Linked DNA regions of Cricetulus griseus. The protein of the gene in region 1 purifies or fractionates together with the protein of each later gene. This does not show direct contact. Links are inferred from orthologs where the notes say so. Each region holds a gene or a part of one and is shown on either strand. Other genes may lie near its edges. The genes, in order: Ctdspl2 and Pdik1l.

The links.
Region 2: the proteins of Ctdspl2 (region 1) and Pdik1l purify together in Homo sapiens (affinity purification with mass spectrometry; 4 studies listed by BioGRID and IntAct, counting the BioPlex papers as one, with this or other methods). This does not show direct contact. The link is inferred for Cricetulus griseus from reciprocal best matches to the Homo sapiens genes CTDSPL2 and PDIK1L.

What each region holds. Positions count from the first base shown.
Region 1 is NC_048599.1:56,446,388-56,450,212, reverse strand, and holds part of Ctdspl2 (CTD small phosphatase-like protein 2), read left to right. Parts: intron 1-647; coding exon 648-726; intron 727-3,377; coding exon 3,378-3,489; intron 3,490-3,825. UniProt on the Homo sapiens protein: Probable phosphatase.
Region 2 is NC_048595.1:19,030,605-19,034,429, forward strand, and holds part of Pdik1l (serine/threonine-protein kinase PDIK1L), read left to right. Parts: intron 1-2,973; coding exon 2,974-3,714; 3' UTR 3,715-3,825.

The DNA.
Region 1 (3,825 bases):
CTCACTCAGCTTTGCTTTTTTTTGTTTTGTTTTTTCAAGACAGGATTTCTCTGTATTGTTTTGGAATCTTGCCTCTGCCTCCCGAGTGCTAGGATTAAAGGCGTGCGCCACCAACGCCCGGCTTCAGCTTTGTTTTTTATATGAAACTTCTCAGGGATGGCACCACCTACAGTACACTAGACATTCCCATACCAGTCATTAATCAAGAAAATGCCCATAGATTTGCCTGTAGGCCATTCTGATGGAGGCATTTTCTCAATTGGGGTTTCCCCTTCTAAAAGGACTCTAGCTTGTTGAATTAACAAAAAACTAGCTAGCACATTCATTTTATGCTCATTTTTCTTGCTGAAAATGACAGTAATTATTAGACAGTAATAATAAATAGATTTCCGATTAGCTGATAGAAATCTTAATTCTACTAGCCATTTTGTAGTTTGCTATGTCATTGATAGTAGTAATTTCTTTTGGATATAGAGTTAAATCTGTTTTACTGAATGTCTTTAAATCTTAAATCTTGATAAATTATTTATCTTTAATCTAAAATATACAGGACCTCAAGAAGCTCTTGTATAAAGACAGTAAAAATGTGTACTTTGTCGGAAACTTCTGATGAGTGAATGTAATCTTCTTTTCCTCTTACTAAATAGCACCAGTAACTCCAGAGAGTGGTTACTCTTCAGCCCATGCAGAGGCCACCTATGAGGAAGACTGGGAAGTATTTGACCCGTGAGTTGTTTTGTAGTTATTAAATTTTCTTTCTTGAATTTTCTTTCTTGAATGATTTTCAGCTTCATGATGGAACTGAAAAATGATGTTTGTCCAGTAGAAACTGTACTTTGAATTTTGAAGTTCAACTTTTTCCTAAGTGGCAGTACATAGCAGGGTACTCTTTCATGTTGGGCAGAGAACTCTATCTCTGACTTATCCTGTGTTCTCACGAGGGCAGACAGCTGATGTTCTGCATTGTTTAACTTAGGCTTTATATTCTGTTAGTACTATATTTGTTAGTCTAGGTATATCATATGCATTTTTAAACTTACATTATTTTTGTTGTAAACATGGGAGATAAATCCCATGATAAGAGCTTGACCTGTAGGTAGGGTATAATACTTATAAGTGAGTTTTGGAGACACTAATCTGTATACTTTTACTTATGTGTTTTCAAAATTTAGTTTACTGGGTGAAGTGTTGAATTAGTTACTGCTTCATTGCTGTAACTGACAAGAAGCAACTTAGGAAGGGTATGTTTTGGTTAGTATCTTAAGTTAAGGATGCAGTCCCTCATAGCAGGAACTGTGGCAGTGAGACCCTGCTAACTGTGGCAGATAGGGGTATTCAGCTGCTGATGACTTTTTTTTAAAGATTTATTTATTTATTTTGTATACAGTGTTCTGCCTACATGTATCCCTGCAGGCCAGAAGAGGGCACCAGATCTCATTACTGATGGTTGTGAGCCACCATGTGGTTGCTGGGAATTGAACTCAGGACCTCTGGAAGAACAGCCAGAGCCATCTCTCCAGCCCTGCTGATGACTTTGTGTCTGCTATCAGAAAGCAGAGTAGTGAATGTTCTGTGCTGCTAGCTTTCTCCTTTGCCCATGGGACAGTGCTGCCCATGCTTAAATGTCTTAGGAAACACCCTTAGACACACAGAGATGTCTGTCTTCTAGGTGATTCTGTTAGATTGGTACAAAAGTAATTTGCAATCTTTGCAATGTTGAAATATATCTGATATTGGAATACTTAAATAAATGAGGTTATCCTACAAATCATTTTAATGTACATTTCTTTATTAATACACGCTTTTTATTTTTAGGTGGGTCTCACTACGTAGCTTTGGCTGGCCTGGAATTTGAAATGTAGACCAGGGTGGCCTCAAATTCACAAGTGCTGGGATCAAAGGTGTGATCCACTATGTCCGGCCCATACTGTTTATTTTATACTATGGAAATGATACGAAACAAAAAGCAAATTAAAGCCATTTTATTTTTTTGTTTGTTTAGTTTCTTTGTGACAGGGTTTCTTTCTGTAGCCCCACTGTCCTGTAACTTGCTTTATAGACCAGGGTGGCCTTGAAGTCACAGAGATCCTCCTGTTTCCTCAGTGGTGGGATTAAAGGCATGTGCCACCCAGCTCAAGCCATTTTCTTATTTGAGTTCAAAATGTGCTCTATCAGTAGCATATTTGGCCTAGAAATTGTTAGTAAACATACAGTGCAGTGGTGGTTCATGATGTTTTCCAATGGAGACTCGAGAAGGAGCTAGTGGCTGGACAGCAGAAGTTGACAAAGACCAATTGAGATCAATCATTGCTCATGAATCTCTTACAGTTATATAGGAAGTTGCTAAGTAACTATATATTCAATGGTCATTTGGTATTAGAAATAAATTGGAAACGTAAAAAGGTTTGATAAGCGGGTGCCTTATGAAGTGACTGAAAAGAAAAAAATGTTATATTAGGCCGATATCCTCCCTTATTTTAAGCTTCAAGGAATTTTCCCTGTCAGTTGTGACAGGTAAAGAGAGGTCTATTGTATACCACAACTGGCAGATGAACCCAGGGTCTGGACGAGAAGAAGCTTCAGAGCCCCTCCCCAAAGTCAAACACACCAAAAAAAGGTCATGGTCAGGGTTTGGTTGTCTGTTGCCACCAAACCTGATCACACAGATTCCTGAGCCTCGACAAAAGCATTACATCCCTGCTCTGCAGTCTAGCAGATAGGCTGAAATCTCCATAGGACTTCAAAATAGCTTTTTTTCAGGGTAAACATTTCTGCAAACACCAGCATGCAGAGAATTCAGAATCCTGAAGCCTGGATGTTTTACACTAGAGCAGTGTTCTCAACCTTCCTAATACTACTCACATCATGGTGATCTCCTACCATAAAATTAATGCATTGCTGTAATCTTGTTATAAATCATAATGTAAATAAATATCTGATATGTGACCCCTGTGAAATGGCCATTGGATCCCTAAAGGGGTTACATCCCACAGGCTGAGAACTGCAGCACTATAGGAATAAACAGATTTATTTCTTTGGTCTTCAGGAGATGAAAGATAGAAAAAAGCAAACAGTCCTTGTAGTCGAAAACATATTGATTGTTCTTACTGGGATCAATTAAGATGTGTTTGAGTCTAGTTACAGCAATTTAAAATTGAGTGACATAGCAGTTCCTTTTGTGCCAATCTAACAATCCAGTGGGATAGATAATGAAGACAAGCTGTACTGTAGGGATTAAACCCAAGGTCTTGCACATTGTATTGTATAGCAAGAATTGTGTAGCTGACCACATCCCAAGCTAATTAAAATTTAAGTTTAGTAGTGTTTGAAATACATGAAACAGAAATGTTGAAATTTTCCTAAAATTTGATTTATAGCTATTATTTCATCAAGCATGTTCCACCACTGACAGAAGAACAGCTAAATAGGAAACCTGCTCTTCCTTTGAAAACAAGAAGCACACCAGAGTTCTCCCTGGTCTTAGATCTGGTGAGTGTGCTATATCTTTCGGGTACAAAGAATAAGGGTGGAAAGAATACAAGTGAGGAAGCAGTCATATTTACTATGAATGTGTCGTGAGTGTTTTGCAAAGTTTTTATTTGAGTATATACTAATGTTAGGATCCCTAGGGTCTCTAGCATTAGACTAGTTTGGTTGGTATCTGGTATATTTTGAAAATAAATTAGACTTTAATTTAAATACAAAAATAAGAGTTGTTTTCCTCCACATTCTTGAGATCCTGTGATTTGTTTTTAATTTTATTTGATGTTTATTTTTTTGAGGAGTCGGGAATTGATCCAGGGTCTTACATATGCATATGTGTTA
Region 2 (3,825 bases), on another chromosome or scaffold:
ATTTTAGTCTTTTCATGAAATGATGAGCTAGAAAGTGGTAGAATTCAGCTATATTACCTATATAGAAAATGTAGGCCTGTTGGGCACTTTCCAGAATAGAGCTACTTAAAAATGTTACTTCTTGACTCAGAAATTTACCATGTATTTAGTAAGGGCAAAGGTGGCCTTCTGAAGTGCTAAAAAACATCTTTTAAAGGCATGTATAAAAGCACTGATGAAATAAAATATTTCTGATGTTTCCAGTTAGAGCTGGAGGCTGGGGCTGGACTTCCCTCAGCGCAGAGCAGAGCTTCCTAACCCTTCCACTTGTAATCTCTCCAGAGAAACATGTGCATGACCCTGGGCATATAGGTGTGTAAAACAGATCTACAAATAAACATGTACTGGTAATGAATCATAAATAATTTCATTTTAAAGCAATTCTTTGGTATAGATATAATTTCAGCTTTTACTAAAGTAGGAAGCAAGTTTATACACAACTGAAGTGAATGTGCTTGTTTATTTCTACATAAAGAGTTAAATCTTGGGTCTGGCATTGGTGGCGCATGCCTTTAATCCCAGCACTTGGGAGGCAGAGGCAGGTGGATCTCCATGAGTTCGAAGACAGCCTGGTCTACAGAGCATGTGCTGATAGAAGCTCCAAAGCTGTACAGAGAAACCCTGTCTCAAAAAAAACAAAACAAAACAAACAAACAAACAAAAAAACGAAACAAAGAGCTACTAAATCTTAGGCTGGCAAGATGGCTCAGTGGGCAGTGATGCTTGGATGTAAGCCTGACAATCTTAGTTCCATCCTCAGGTCCCATAAGGTGGAAGGAGAGAATCAGCCTCCAGAGTTACCCTCTGACACGTATGTGCTCAAATACTTGAGAGTACACAGATAAGAAATTAAATCCATTTAGAAAAAAATATTTGGTGAATATTTGTTGTTGTGAAACAGAACATCTTCAGTGTTTTCCACAATTGATACTTTTATTTTATGACCATGATTGGTGAGAACAGTGTTTCATATAAATAGGTCAGTACAAAATAGTAGATATAAATTTAGGCAAGTCAAAAATTGTTCACACTTCTGTCCTCACAGCTTTCAGTGGCCCTTCTGTAGTTCTGGGATCCCAGGTGTGTGCCGCCAACAGCAACTGCTAAAACCAAACCTCTCTTTCTCTCAGTCTCACTATATAACTCAAAATCCAGCAGGCTAAACTTGCAGTCTCTTGAGCTAGGTGTAGTGATAACACACCTGTGATTTCAGCACTGAAGATGGAAGCAGGAGGGTCAGAAGTTCAAGGCCAGCCATGACTATACAGTGAGTTTGAGGCTTTCATGAACTATTTGAGACCATGTCTCAAAACAGAGGAAAAAGAAGAGGAAAGAAAATCACACCCAAATTAAGCATTACACGAAAACATAACCCACTGATGGACTGCGTTGCTGATTAATGGCAGTAGAAAAATATCAGAAGTCTTTGTTTACCCCAATGAAACCATTATGTTTCTATAAGAGCAGACAAATATATATATAGTAAAACAATATAGCAGACATATATATATATATTAAAAAAATGCTGTAATTTGGTTTTGAATTAATTTTTGGTAACTGAAAATTTGTAGTTAAACTTTTGACTGTTGGCAGTTTGTTTTGTGTGTGTGACCTCCTACTTTCTGTGTAAGAGACCCTTGCCTTAATGGTCAATGGTGACTTTAATCCCCAGCACTTGGAAATATAAACAGGCAGATCTCTGTGAGTTCAAAGCCAGCCTGGTGTATAAAATAAGTTCCATGACATCCAAGGACACACAGCGAAACCCTGTCTCGAAAAATCAAAAAGAAAAGAATAAAGAAACCCGTGCCTGCCATGTATAAGATCCAACTGACCTAACTTTCTTTTATTTTCAAGACAGGGTTTCTCTGTGTAGTCATGGAACTCTCTCTGTAGACCAGGCTTGCCCTAACTCACAGAGATTCTCCTGACTCTGCCTCCCAAGTGTTGGCACCACTACTATCCAGCTTGGGTTGGTAATTTTTTTTTATTTAATTTTTATTTATCTGCATTGGTGTTTTGCCTACATGTATGTCTGTATGAGGAAGTTGGATTCCCTGGAATTGGAGTTAAAGACAGTTGTGACCTAACATGTGAATGCTAGAAATTGAACCTGGGTCCTCTGGGAGAGTAGCCAGTGCTCTTAACCACTGAGCCATCTCTCCAGTGCCCCCCATTTTTTTTTAAATTTTACTTTTTGATTTTGCATGACAGGGTATCTCTGTGTAACAGCTGTAGTTGTCCAGGAACTCTCCTTGTAAACCAGGCTGGCCTCGAACCCACAGAGATCCACCTGCCTCTGCCTCCCCAGTGCTGGGATTAAAGGTGTGCACCACTACCACCCAGCTAAATATATATATATATTATATATATATATATATATATATGTTAATTAAGATGTACAACCAGGTGTGTACACACCTTTAGTCCCAGCACTGGGGAGGCAGAGGCAGGCAGATCTCAGAATTAGAGGTCCACCTGGTCTACAAAGCAAGTTTCAGGGCAACCAGGGCTATACAGAGAAACCCTCTCGCAAAAAAAAAAAAAAGAGTTATTAATTTTTAAGTATGTTTGTGTGGAGGGAGGAATATATGTGTCAGTGCAGGTGCCCTTAGAGTCCAGAAAAAGTATTGGATTCCCCTGGAGCTATCATTACAGGCAATTGTGAGACACTGACTTGGGTGCTGAGGACCTGAAGTCCAGTCCTCTGAGGGCATTAAGCTCATAACTGCTGACCCATATTTCCAGCTTCCTTTAGCCTTTCTTTTTTTTTTAATATTTATTTATTTTGGTTTTTCGAGACAGGGTTTCTCTGTGGCTTTGGAGGCTGTCCTGGAACTAGCTCTTGTAGACCAGGCTGGGCTTGAACTTACCCTTTAACCTTTCTATAGTCAAATTTTTGTAATAACTTTTTCTCCTACTCCTTCTTCACAGCTTGTAGAGACTTCATTAAAAGGAGAAATTGCCTTTGATCCCAGAAGCGCCTATTATTTGTGGTTTGTGATGGATTTTTGTGACGGAGGAGATATGAATGAGTATCTGTTGTCCAGGAAACCCAATCGAAAGACTAACACCAGCTTCATGCTTCAGCTCAGCAGTGCTCTGGCTTTCTTGCACAAAAACCAGATCATCCACCGAGACCTGAAGCCTGATAACATCCTGATTTCTCAAAGCAGGTTGGACACCAGTGACTTGGAACCCACCCTGAAAGTGGCGGATTTTGGTCTAAGTAAAGTTTGTTCAGCATCTGGGCAGAACCCAGAAGAACCTGTCAGCGTAAACAAGTGTTTCCTTTCCACGGCATGTGGAACAGATTTCTACATGGCTCCCGAAGTTTGGGAAGGACACTACACAGCAAAAGCTGACATCTTTGCTCTGGGAATTATTATCTGGGCGATGCTGGAGAGGATCACTTTCATAGACACAGAGACAAAGAAGGAGCTCCTGGGGAGTTACGTAAAGCAGGGGACCGAAATTGTGCCTGTTGGGGAGGCACTTCTGGAAAACCCCAAAATGGAACTTCTCATCCCTGTGAAGAAAAAGTCTATGAATGGACGAATGAAGCAACTGATTAAGGAAATGCTGGCTGCAAACCCTCAGGATCGTCCGGATGCATTTGAACTAGAACTCAGATTAGTCCAAATTGCATTTAAAGACAGCAGCTGGGAAACGTGACCTTCTGCTTGCAAGCACCTTAGATGATGTGCTGCTTCTGAGTCAACAGTGATTCACCTTTACGTGGCCGAAAGGAAGACAGAAGTTAGACTTCACTTTCGAAGGGTTTAG